3 linked regions of the Oryzias latipes genome follow. The protein of the gene in region 1 interacts with the protein of each later gene in a pairwise test. Links are inferred from orthologs where the notes say so. Each region holds a gene or a part of one and is shown in the gene's direction. Other genes may lie near its edges.

Evidence for each region. The genes of interacting proteins can lie anywhere in the genome.
Region 2: the proteins of c12h9orf16 (region 1) and thap11 interact in a two-hybrid assay, tested with the Homo sapiens proteins (2 studies listed by BioGRID and IntAct). The link is inferred for Oryzias latipes from reciprocal best matches to the Homo sapiens genes BBLN and THAP11.
Region 3: the proteins of c12h9orf16 (region 1) and cep290 interact in binary tests that used the Homo sapiens proteins (3 or more experiments, as listed by UniProt). The two-hybrid records come from large-scale screens. The link is inferred for Oryzias latipes from reciprocal best matches to the Homo sapiens genes BBLN and CEP290.

Annotation. Positions count from the first base shown.
Region 1 is NC_019870.2:12,173,747-12,177,513, reverse strand, and holds c12h9orf16 (UPF0184 protein C9orf16 homolog), read left to right. Parts: upstream 1-1,577; 5' UTR 1,578-1,847; coding exon 1,848-1,926; intron 1,927-2,348; coding exon 2,349-2,623; 3' UTR 2,624-2,882; downstream 2,883-3,767. Other genes in the region: surf2 (surfeit locus protein 2), read right to left, coding at 177-280, 414-565, 794-868. UniProt on the Homo sapiens protein: Essential for intermediate filament organization in intestinal cells, interacts with intermediate filament and regulates intestinal lumen morphology.
Region 2 is NC_019861.2:21,742,791-21,747,572, forward strand, and holds the start of thap11 (THAP domain-containing protein 11), read left to right. Parts: upstream 1-1,722; 5' UTR 1,723-2,986; coding exon 2,987-3,811; 3' UTR 3,812-4,782. UniProt on the Homo sapiens protein: Transcription factor, which has both transcriptional activation and repression activities. Also modulates chromatin accessibility.
Region 3 is NC_019864.2:2,332,756-2,337,701, reverse strand, and holds the start of cep290 (centrosomal protein of 290 kDa), read left to right. Parts: upstream 1-1,886; 5' UTR 1,887-1,996; intron 1,997-2,209; 5' UTR 2,210-2,251; coding exon 2,252-2,356; intron 2,357-4,946. Other genes in the region: tmtc3 (transmembrane and TPR repeat-containing protein 3), read right to left, coding at 523-741, 926-1,114. UniProt on the Homo sapiens protein: Involved in early and late steps in cilia formation. Its association with CCP110 is required for inhibition of primary cilia formation by CCP110.

The DNA of each region.
Region 1 (3,767 bases):
TCCTCATTGCTCACAAGGAACTATTGTGCATGAAGAAAAAGTGATGTCATATGTTGATGACAACGAGTCATTTCAGAACCCTTACTATTTGATTTTATTTGGTTGATTTTTATGTTTAATAATGTTGCTTTATAATGTTACAATTCCGAAGTTTAATAATAAAGTGATGCACTAACATTGAGCAAGGGCTTTCTTGAAGCGTTTCCCATTGATGTGGATGAGGACATGGCGTGGCTCCCGGTTCAGATGCCTGAGAGTCAACTTACAGAAAAGCTGATTGCTGGAAGAAAAAAAGACAAGTATCATCAGAGAAGACATTCCAAAATCCAAACTATCCTGTTCCATTGTGTGCACTTTTGATCACTTATTGGCCTAACCCCCAAAAATAATTGACTGACATAGAATGGCCTTACGGTTGTTTTGTGCTGGGAATGATATGTGGTTCATACTGGCTGTAGTTGAACTCAGCTCTAGAGCTCAGTTTCTTATACTTTTTCCCTTCAGTGAAATTCTGCAGCTCAGTCAGGTTGCAAGGAAGTTCATGACCATTCAGAGTGCACTTGATCTGCAAAGAAACATGTAAATGGTTAAAACGAGGCGGTGCTGCTGAGTGTATGACAAATATGAGTGGTTGTATATAAAAAATAATATTACCCCCCTCCCCCCATCGATGCGACCAATTACATTTAAAATTGTTAAACAATGCCATTCCACTTAATTATTAGCACTGTGCTAGCATAAAGTTGTTTGGGTGCACGTGTGTCTCAAATGACGCATGCAAATTGTTGCTAACCTTTTTATTATCTGTAAGCTCAAAAAACGGTTGAGTGACGAGAAAAGCTCTGAGGTCCGCAGGTAAATCCTCCATAGTAGTAACAAGAACAAAATCTTCAAAACAAAGTTCCTGGTAAAAAAAATATTACCCTACTCCACCGGAAGCTACATACACGTGGTCATTTGCGCAAACTCAGTGGGTTAAAATAAGCGCCCCCCACTGGTCAAAACCGGGACCGGTCACATATTTTAAACAGAAACAAATAATAATGATAAATAAATCTAAAAAGAAATAATCTGACGTTTATTTTTTCCAATCTAAAATAATAAGATTATCGGAACCTTACGTTTTAATTTAAAAGAATAGCGGGCAAATCAGTAAGCTGCTGGCAAAAAAATAAGTTTTAAATATAAATCCGACTTCAAGTAATAGACATATTTTTTGTGTGTACTTAAATGGAAAGTAGACAATTAAAATCCGTGTACAACTACACACAGCAAAACTATTCAAACATTTTCTAAAAGTCATGTGAGCTGCGTCAGATGACTGTGACAGTTCAAGCACCAAGATTGTTTGAGTAGAAAGAGGCGTCACTCTTGATATATTCTACAAAATTACAACTGTTGTCTACAAAACTAAGATTCTTTATTTTTTACTAACTACTGTAAATACGATATAAATAAGTAAAAATAAAGTCTAAAACCTTTAATAATAAAAACGATGTGCCATCAAATAGAACTGATTTAAAATTATCATTCATTCAGACAATAAATTGGTAGTGAGTCCTCTTACTATGGACTGATAGAACACAATTTATTTCCTGCACTCAATTGGATCTTAAAACAACGTCTGTCGACAACAGATGTCAGGCTTGCCGAGGAGCTGCTGTTAATAACTATTTAAACCAAAAGTCGATCATCTGAAAATAAATTCAAGATAAGTTTGTAATTCTGATGACCCGATGGTTGCAGATCATCGATGCTAGTTGGTTAACAAGCATCTAGCTAGCAAAAGAACAGCAAAGGAGACGTAATCGGTGTGTTAAAGTAATATTGTTCGTGTCTTCGTCATCATGTCTGGACCAAATGGCGATCCAAATATCTCCACTGACAATGGGATTATTGACGACGAGGACGAATTTGGCGATGAGGGTAATGTTTCCGTTCATTGTGATTTGACTAACTGGTTTATTTACACTACAACACCTGTTTTCTGTCGCCTTCTTTTCATTTTTAATTACAAAATTGCCTAAAGTAACTGTTTACCAAAGTGTAGGGTCATCCTCGTACACATTTATCTTGGTTTGACATTGACTTTTAAATGGATTAGCAGGTGGGAAAAAATAGTGCATTCCAATGTAGGTCAAACCTTATTTAAGAATAGAAGAAATAAAACAAAAACTCCCAACTTTATTTAAAATTGCATAAAAATATGAAAAATGTCACAATTTTTTTTTTATATTTTACTGCAGACATCAAAGCTCTGATTTTTATATTTCTCCTCATTCCAGTCTTTGTTGAATCTCCATGTCTTTCATCAGGCGTTAATGTTGGACTGTTGTGCTCCTTCACAGAGTACGCTGCCATAAACTCCATGCTGGACCAGATCAACTCCTACCTGGATGACCTGGAGGACCGGAACGATGCACTTAATGGAAAACTGCACGAACTGCTGGAGTCGAACCGGCAAGCTCGCCTTGAGTTCAGGGCCCAGATTCTTGAGTCTCAAAACCAAGAGGAGCAGTCCATCCAGGGGGGGGACCAATCTGCAGAGCTGTCAGCTTCTCCGTCCAACAAGGAAGAGCAAAATACAAACAAGGGCTCAGAAATTAATGATAAGAGTGCATAGATCTGCTATTTTTAGTGTGGAAAGACAGAGAAGGTGGCTTCAACTCCTAATCTATGCTGAACAAGCTATCTTTAGTCCATAGCAGTCATGTGCTTCAATGGTTTCCCAGATTACATTCCATCTTTTCCTCTTTGGATGATTTATGACACATTGGTAGTGGTTCCTGGTCAGATTTTTACTGACCTGCATCATTTGCTTTGGAAAAAGCTCCCTGCTTTGTAATTATTGTATGCAAATATAAATAACCCAGATGCTTGTGTACTGTTGTCCTGGATTATGTCATTGTGCTGGTCCAGATTGTGCTATTTAGTTTATTTTTGTCTTATTTCGAGTTAATACCCGAATATGAAATATGTTTTTAAGTACAAAAGATCAAAATAAAATGTCAAAAATAGTCAGATGTCTCATTACAGAATATATCTCTAAAAGAACATGAGAACTAACGTTTTCACCTGAATTTATATCATAAATAATTCCCCGGTTGCTCTAAAACTATCTGGTGTTGATAGAAGCCACAGTCATCTTTCTCCTTCACTTCAACACTAACAATTTATTTATTTTGTACTCCAACATGTGCAGGAACTTCATAAAATAGAACCTGTATTTACGGGACAAAATAAGCCTCAAGTGACTAAGAGGACAAGACATGTCAGTGTGTGAATGTGTGAGTGAATGGGTCTGTGAGTGTAAAGCGCTTTGGGCCTTGTAGGTAGAAAAAGCGCTATATAAGTATACACCATATACCATGTAAAAAAAATACACTTTCCTGCCCAATTTCTGTATTTGATTAGTAAGATGACATCTGTTTACATGTTTTCTGATCAGCAATGACTGAACCTCTGAATATAAATGTGTTTTACAGCTGACGGTTGACAATGAACCTTCATGCAGATCCATCTGAGGATCAGAGCTCACCTAAGGCTTTTTCACACACAGACATAGCTCTAGATTAGGGGTCTGCAACTTTCAAAACTTCAATTCTCACTGGCCACAAAGTCCTTGTTCACCCTTTAGATTAAGAAGACACCAATTGGCATTTATATTATGCTTTTACATTTAAATTAACTATTTTTGTCCCCATCAATATAAACAAAGAAAAAACAGCCTCTTTTCTAAATGAGGAAATAGATAACTTTTGACAGCG
Region 2 (4,782 bases), on another chromosome or scaffold:
TTATTAAACTAAACACATTCTTTTTGAATTAAAACTTATTGAAGAAGGAATACGTTATTTTTATTTCAATAGACAATGAAACTTTATAGTAAAAAAAGGTAGTATAGTTCCATTTATGTGTTAGTTTTTATGTGCTAATTTTTAAAGCTCTTTTATATAAAATTTAAAAATTTATAAACATCTTATTTAGGTTCCTTTTAAACGGTTCAGAGATGAGCAATGTAATAAACTTCATTGTGAATAGATAATTTTAGAAATGTAATAAATGATCAGATTAATCAACTTTTGCACAGTTTTTTTCAAAGTATCAATGAAAAGTGGATATTCTATTAAAAACAAATATTTCATATACATTTATTTAGGGGATATAAGTGTCATTTAGCATTTCTCAAAAGATTTTTCACTTCAAGATTTGTCTTTATGTTTTCAAAATATCTGTAGGGATTCACCTTTAAAAGTACACCTATTGGAGATTTTAATTGTGGATGCTGAAAGGTTTTCTGAAAGAAGACTAAGTCCAGATGCCATGACATAACCTCAAGACGTTAACCTGGATGAAGGAGTCTTTCGCCAATTCTGCTTCCTGGAAATGCCTTTTCTAAGTTTATAAATAGCTCACCTGGAACTCTAGTGCTTTTAGCTTTGTACACTCCACCAACTTGTGCACTGAGAGCAGTTTTGTAAAATGTAATCAAAAAGACGAAGACAGAAGAGAAAATAGCAAAGTGCATACTTTTATGTATAAGATTTATTTAATTGTTAGCAGAATTATGTGTGGACAGTAACAGAAAATACAAGACTACAGTTTATATATTGAGAGTACTACTTTAACCATTCTTGCTACATCCATTTGAAAGTTTGTTATTTGTCTAAATGCCCCCACTTGTTTTTGACGTAGCTGATCTGTCTTGATTAGTAAGTACTAGTTAATTACTTTGTGACACATCTAATGATACCAGTTAAAACTATACAGACACTTAATCTGATTTTGACCTCAGTGTAAAGATCAGCCACACTGTATATATGTCTGTATTGATGTTGTGAGAATGATAATTGCAAAAGAAGTAGTTTTTTGAGAGCTGGCTTTATGCAAAGGTCCAAAGTTTGAGTGTGTACTTGTCGAAAGGCATGAATATCGTTTGTCTTGAACTAAAAAACTAGCAAAAAACAAATAACCTTTCAAAGGCCGTTTGATGAGTGAAAACAATAGAAATTTTTAAATAATCCAGAAGATTTAGGTAAAAAAAGATAAGAAAATTTTTCATATATTAAAAATATAAAAAATTGATTAAATCATAGCTATAATAACTAGATGTGTTACTAATAAAGAACTTAAATGTACTCAGTAACTTAAACATAAATATGTGTGCATATAAGGAAAAGCCCTGAAACAAAGCAAGCAAATAAATAAATGGACAATATGAATCAGCTTACTTTTTTTTTTATTGATGCAGAACAAAAGTGACATACAGCAAAAGAACAAGGAACAATAAACTGTACATCAAATGTTTAAAATAAACGGCAGGGGATATACAGGCAAGAAAATAAAATTATATTAAATTATACAGCTGAGCAAGGTGATACGTTTTAACAGTTTTTTTGTTTGTACTGGGGGAAATGGAAAGTAAGTAAGTTTTATTTATTTTATTTTTTTATTTAACCAGGAAAGTCCCATTGAGATTAAAAACCTCTTTTGCAAGGGAGTCCTGGCCAAGAGGCAGCACAAAGTTACAAACACAGACAACAAATAAAATTACATTCAATTATAAAAACAGTTACATTTAAAGGAGTTGACCTCAAGTGCTCTCAGTCTGGTTTTAAAATCATTTAAAAAGATAAGATCAGGGAGCTTCCAGTTTTTTTGCAGTGTGTTCCATGACGTGGGAGCAGCGTGAGAAAAAGATCTTTTTCCCAGTTCTGTGCGGACAAATGGAACATTGAGCAACAGTTGATCATTTGAACGCAATGAATATGAATCAACATTTCTCCTCTGTAGTAAATCTCCAATGTAGGAGGGAAGCAGTCCAAGCATGGCCTTGTAAATAAAAATGTACCAGTGTCCTTGCCTTCTTGTGGACAGAGATGACCACCCCACACGAGAGTACAGTTCACAGTGATGTGTTAATGCTCTACAATTGGTGATAAACCTCAGAGCAGCATGATACACAGAGTCTAATCTATAAAGACAATGATTTGAAGCATTCATGTACAAAAGGTCCCCGTAGTCTAAAACAGATAGAAATGTTGCTGTCACAAGTCTTTTTTTACTTTGAAAGAGAAGCAAAGCTTATTTCTAAAAAGAAAACCCAATTTCAGTTTTAGTTTCTTCACAACATTTTCAATGTGGGGCTTGAATGTCAAGGAGTCATCAAGTAAGACCCCAAGGTATTTGTACTCATGTACTTGCTCTATAAGTAACATCTAACTTGGGCTAGTAAATCAAGAAAATTAGGAGATTTATTGCTGAATTTAGATTTGTGAATATAAAACTTGGTTAATAAAATCATAAGATTTATCAAATAAAATTGAGATAAAAATGTCTTATAATTAACTTGCAGGACAAGTAAGAATCGCCCCTCGGACGTTCATCCGTCCGACAGGGGGCGCCATATTTATGTGGGGCTCAAAATTGGAAGCGCAAAGCAATCTGGTACTTGTAGTTTACATAGTGGGGTGGTCGGATTGATAACGCGCCGCAGAACAAAACAAGACGACGCTCTTGAATATAAAGTTTAAACGTTGAAATCGTCGTGAGAAATAGTTTTGCCACGTGCAAGTTTGGATCAAATCGGCTGGAGTAAGTCCTCAAACTCGGAGAGCAGCTCACTTTTAGTGAAAATAAACAGGAAGTTGATAGCGTTGTGGGACGTGTAGTTTTGTGTGCAGGCCGTGGCGCTTGATAGCAAGGCATCGGAAAAAAAGCACCAATTAAATAATCCAAGCATCATTTAACCATCGTGTTTTAAGCATCGACTTTGAATAAACGATGCCCGGGTTCACGTGCTGTGTGCCTGGCTGCTACAACAACTCGCACCGGGACCGGGAGCTGCGCTTCTACACATTTCCAAAGGACACCACGCTAAGAGAGCAGTGGCTGAGGAATATTTCCCGGGCCGGGGTCAGCGGCTGCTTCAGCACCTTTCAGCCCACCACAGGACACCGAGTCTGCAGTGTGCATTTCGCCGGAGGGCGGAAGACCTACTCCGTTCGAGTGCCGTCCCTGTTTCCCCTGCGTGGAGTGAATGAACGCAGGTGTCGGCGGGGCAGAGGGAGAAAGGTTTACGCTGCAGTCCTCGCCCCCGCCGCCGCAGCGACCTCTGGGATTGTGGCCACTAGCGTGCTTGGGAACACGGCCGGAGGAGCCGAGGGCAGCATTGGAGGCGAGGCGGGCGACGACAGCATTACCGTGGTTCAAATAGGCCAGAACGGGGAGTACCTGGGCACCGCGCGGCTACCGGCTCAGTCAGAGGCGACTTGTTACTCCGCGCCATGCGGCAGCGCGGATGAACTGAGAAGCGACGAGTACTCGTTGGAAACCGGCACTAACCAGCCCACAGTGCATTACGTGAGTGTGACCAGCAGCCCTCTGGACCACTCGTACTCCCTGACGACTGGAACCACGTCAGCCGAACTACTGCGGAAACTGAACGAGCAGCGGGACATCATCGCGCTGATGGAGGTGAAGATGAAGGAGATGAAGGCGACCATCCGCCAGCTCCGGGTCACCGAGGCCAAGCTGCAGGAGGAGGTGCGGGAGCGGGACCGGCTGCTCGGCCACTCACCACCTGTTGGTTTCAGAAAGAAAATGTAACTCTCCTGAACAAACCTGGAGACCACCCTAACAGGGACAAGGAGATGAATGAAGCATGGCCGCCTGAAACCAGACTCTCATGAACTTTACGCCAAGTCTGACGTGAAGGATGGGATGGTTTATGTAGATAATAGTAATTAAATAACTGCTAATCACATAAACACACTGTTGGGGCTCAACAACGTAAGATTGTTATTCCTTCTTTAAAGAAGGCTCACTTCAACTGACCATCTTAGGGTGTTTAACTCTTGATAAGAAAGAAAAGAAAAAAATCCCTTTATTGTTAAACTTTTACGTTTTTTTTCACTTTGTATTTCTTAATTTAGTTCATTGTTTTCCAGAGAAAAATTAAAGGGCAAAGTTGCAAAATGCAGTAAGTAGGACTGAATGAAAACATTTCCCACACATTAACTTTTCATTTTAATCATTAAATGTGAATCTGATTGTACCGGAGTCCAGTGTAAGCACCGGATATGTTTTCACCCCCTATATTCTTTTTCAACAAAAGAAGTTTACCAAACTCATTCAAACTGCAGACTCGGCTGTCAAATAAGATGTTCCATAAAAATATGGATTCTGTTGCATTTGTTTAAGTTTTTTCCCCTAATAGGTAATTTAGTTAAAATATCTTTCTTAATATCTTGATATACATAATTCAACTTTAGTGTTTGTGTGTCGAGGTTGTTTCGATGAACCAGGTCCTGCTTAATCTGTGATTCTGTATGTGCCTATTTGTAGTCAGACATGAATTTGTGTTTATTGGCTGCATCTATTCATGGATGTTTTATGTACAGGATGTTTGGCACATTTCAGATGTTTTAGTCTATGGCGAGCTATGACAAAACCTCACCTTGAAACATTGTGCTAAAACGTTCAGTCGATTCTTAAGTGTCATTTGGTTCAGTGACACGATGATGGACTTCTACAGTATTTTCAGGTTTACAGATGTTGGATTCGTCCCGTCCATGTAA
Region 3 (4,946 bases), on another chromosome or scaffold:
TCTCATTGTGGAATGCTTATATAAAGCGTGATCACCGCTCACAAAGGAAAGGAGGGCGCATTGGTTGAAGATAGAATGCCATGACAGACAGGGTTTAACACACAGGTTTACTGTCAGAGCGTTAATAAAATAAGTCGTCAGCACGAGATAGTTAACTCAACAACAAAACAAGTGAGTAGATGTTAACGGAGCCCCACGTGTTATAAATATTTATAGTGTATGCTCTATTTCTAAGTATGACTTTGCAATAGTGGCTCTTGCACCAAAACTCTCCAGTGATTTCATTGTTTGATGAAGACTTGGAATTTGCCAGGTCTGCCTAAATTTAACCAACAATGAAGCTCAACACGGGTCATTCAGATGCTGCCAGAAACAACAGTTTTTCACAGATTCATCTTCAGACAATACGTCGACAAACCAAAACGCAAAATTATTACACAGTAGGAGACTTAAACCCCATTTCAGACAACTTTAAAAGCTATTGCAGAAACAAATATTTTTGAAACCTTAAGAAAGACTTACAGCCTCCGTGTGGATGGGGTGAACAGCAAACAGCAAAGCCGCCACCAAACCGGAGGTCTTGTCCAGGAACAGTCGGCAAACACGCAGGAAGAGAACGCACACAGCAGCGTGTAAAATGATATTGAGCAGGTGGTAGGAAGCTGCACTGAGCTCACTGAAGAGGTAGTTCAGTCGGAATGTGAGTACTGTCAGGGGTCTGTAAGACTTGTGGCTTCGCTCCTGCAACGGGACACAGGTGGCAATGACTGTCAGATGAAAGTTTACCTTTTTTCATTTAAACTCAAACATGGTGGAAAGGAGTTCCTATTCTTGGTTTCATATAACAGAGCAGAACAATACAAACATCAAGGATAGCGTGTATTTGCGCAACATGATTAAAAGGGCATTAAAATGTAGTCATTACCTCAGTCATAGGTGTTCCCCAAAAGTCATTAAGAAAAAGGTTGTGAAGAGGGGTTGCGGGCCGGAGGTCCTTGTTGTCCAGGATGGCAGAGACATCATCAAACACAAACCCACATGACAGACTGTTCCAGTAGCATCCCGCCACCAGTCCAGTCAAAAGAACAATCTCCTTCCACGACACGAAAGCCATTTCTGACAAAAGCCGTCATTGATCACTGCAAAGGAGAGCAAACGGGACTGATCATTTATGGGGAATTAATAAACCATTATGGAAACCGCTTAATTTAAATGCGGGTCAAACTAAGCGACCAAAGGTTACTAGATGTCAAAGTGCAGCTGCTGCAGTGCAACCTGTTCAAATTTAACTCTAAACTAAACAATTTACTTACCAAGCAAAACACCCCGGTTTCTACCCCTTTTAATATATGCAACTGAATAACAACAACGCCGTTAATAATTCAAGAACCCCCCAAAATAATAAACAACTACTAGTACTTTCTGGTTCTGCTAGACACACAGTAGTCCAGGTGACATAAGGGAAACGTTGCATGTGAAGCAAGCGAAACAAATGAAACCCATTTTGCTATCAATATTTAATAGCAATGTTTATCATAAACACTGACAAACAAAGAAGATAAAACAATCTGCTGTAACTTGTCATAAGAGTAGATACTTCCACAGACAGGTAGCTAAGGCTAACTAGCTTGATTCCAGGCTGCGTTCGAAAGCATCTGCGTGCATTTCAATGTTACTGCAAAACACTCCGATTTGTGTCACCTAGCTTACACCAGAGCAGACGACAGCATCAGCAAACCCCACACAAAACACTGAGATATCCCAGAACAGAAGAGCAGGATTAATCCAAATGTAGCTGTGAGTACCTGCTAGCGTAGCTGAATCCCAACTACCTCTTCTTCCGGTTCAAAGGTGAACGCGCACGTTCAAAACTAGCCGAAGGCGGCTAGAGGGAATTTGACAAGGTTTTATCGTAGTCTTGTTTAGACCACAAATTATTTGTTTGACTAGGGCAAGTTTAGGGATAATGTCGAATATTCCGTTTACACGCAATGCGGTAATTTTATTCTCTTCTATTATTATACTTTAATGGTAACTAGCTTTTATTTTTTTAGACTAGCTGTTGTTAGCGGTAACCTAGCAGCCAGACCTCAGGAAGATTGTTGTGCAGCTTCAATAATCAGTCTGTGACCCATAATATACATGACGTTTCCAATGCGTTTATTTGAAGACTGATTTTTGACGTTAAATATTTTCTTCTTCTTGGCAGTTTTCTCCCTGAGTACCACTACTAGCTACGAACGGTCAAAAAATGCCAACCGTTCTCGACTGGAATAAGGTTTCAGGGATTGACCCAGGAATCCTCCTTGAATGTAAAAATAACAAAGTGGACGAGGTCGTCGGCATGCTTATTTCGGTAAACTTTCATGCACTGTCTCTGATAGTCCTGCCACAGCTTACTTCGGAAGAAAATTGCACCTTAAGTGGGCTATTTTTTACCATAATTCAAAAAGGGTTAATCTAATTTAGAAGTGATTTAAATAAACCGCCTGTTGAGGTCAAAGTGCATTCAAAATGACTTTAAAAATGCAGCTTAAGAAAAACAAATTACCCCACCCACCCAATTTGATGTTTTGCCCCTTTACCAAGAGCAGCATTGTAGTGACTGGTTAATGTGAAGAGTATCTCTTAACAGTTAATTCTGCATAAAGTTGATTTCATACATGGTTATTTAAACTTAAACATGCTTTAAAAGCCTTTATATCTTCAGAGGGTCAGCTACACTCATTACTACATTCTCTACATGTTCTGTTTTTTTGTTGTTCACTATTCCTTTCATCTTTTACCTCAACCTCCTGAACAACAACATGACAAATATTATTACTTAATATACATGTTTTACCTGATATTTGGGAAAGTAATCATTTCTGTTTGTAAAATTTCCTCAAATGTCCTGTCAAGAGTAATGAGGAGCTGTGAAGATTTGGACTTGCAGTTTCCATGTAGCTCATTTTTAAATTTTTAATCATTTATTTACCTTGTGACGGCACGGTGGTGCAGTGGTTAGCCTCCGGCAGCCACGTATATAAACAGATTAGAAGATAAATGAATATTTACCTTCTGTCTTTTGAAGTTTTTGGATCATATTTTAGCCAAACCTAAAATGTGCGTTTTAACTTGCTCCCTTGAAGCCAGTCACCACTGGGTGTTTTCAAAAGCCTGCTAGAGTCTGTCCTGTCTTTTGGAGTTTTATGTTCTTGTGTGTCTGTGTTTTTTCTATTTGGGATTTAATTTTACAAAATTAGAAGAAATTGTGAGTTCTTACATTAAGAATCAGGTAAAATGTTTTTTTTTTTCTTTTGTCTGAAAACAAATAGTTTTAAAAGAAAGTTGAGGTCCCACTCCAATCTACTTTTGATCTATTATAAAAGCATTGCCAGTAGTCTTAATTATAATTATGCTGTTTTTAGGCAAAATAAAAACTGTGTTGTTTTCAAGGACATAGTTTCTACAGAGTGGCAGGAGTTCATCAGAGGTTTATCCCTGAGTTGTGGGCAGGACTATTGGGGCAGAGTTTGCCTGCACTGATATTCCATTAATCCTTTGTTGACACTCTCTCCTGCTAGCTTACAGCCCCTCACAACCAAAGGCTAACATTAGCAGTGCAACAAAAATGATCACTAATATTGGAGCTATTAATTAACTGGAGAATTAAATCAATGGCTCTATTTGTCTTCAAGTTGATACATCAGAATGTGGTGGAGCAGGGAGCTTGTTGCCTGCTTTTTGTCTCTGGATGCTGTGGGACTGTCTTGGCTGAGATGTCTCTGAAGCATCACGTGGCAGTCGTGGACTGTACCAGTGGACTGGCAGACTTGGGTGGGGGTTCCCTTTTTTCAAGAAGTGGGTGTGTTTCAACTACTGGGGAATCACTCTCCTCAACCTCCCTGGAAAAGTCTATGACAGCCTACATGAAAGGAGAATCCTTCCAATAGTCAAACCTTAGTTCCAGGCACAACAGTGTGGTTTCTAGCCTGGTTGTGGAACAATGGACCAGCTCTACACCCTCCATAGGACGCTGAAGGGTTCATGGGAGTTTACTCATTCAGTCTATATGTGTTTTGTGGATCCGGAAAATGCATTTGACAGTGTCTCCTGTGGTAACGTAACGGATGCTCTGTGAGTATGGAGTTAGAGGATTCTTCCTGAGGGATATCTGGTCTTCTATGACCGTAGTAGGACCTTGGTTTGCATAGCCGGCAGTAAGTCGGACCTGTTCCTAGTTCATGTTGGACTCCGACTGCCCTCTTTCACTGGTTCTGTTTATAATCAATAGAATTTCTCGGCTCAGGCAGGGGCCAGAGAAGGTCTGGATTGGGGACCACATGATTTCCTCTCAGCTCTTTGCAGATGATGCAGGCCTGTTGGCTTCATGGAGCCCAGACCTCCAGCATGTGTTTGGGTGATTTGGGGGTGAGTGTGAAGCAGCTGGGAGGAAGGTCAGCACTGCTAAGTCTGGCCATGGTTCTTTATCTGAGAAAGGTAGTTTGTCCTCTTTGGGTGGGTGGAGTGCTTTTGTCCCAGATGGAGGAGTTGACGTATAGTGGGGTCTTGTTCATGAGTGAGAGAAGATCGGAGTATGAGATGGAAAGGCAGATTGGAGAAGTGTCTGCTGTTAAGCAGTTGCTCTCTCTGTCCCATTGACTGAGAACTGGACTGAGTAAACCCTCCCCTCTTGCGTTCCAAACAGCAAGTTACTGTGGTCTCCAAGAAGCCAAAATCCCATAGACTTCTATGAGAAATAAACAGCTAAAACTCTGTAGGTTTATTTGACAAAATAACTATTCTTTCTCTTCTCCTTGTTTTTAACATGTTCTTAATAATCCTTATTTTTTAAAATGATATTTTCATAATAAACAGACCAATCAGATGCCTCAATAAAAGCATGTGGTGCCCACTGGCCCCTACCTCGAATGTTGGAAATGTATGATCGACAGACTTTCCCG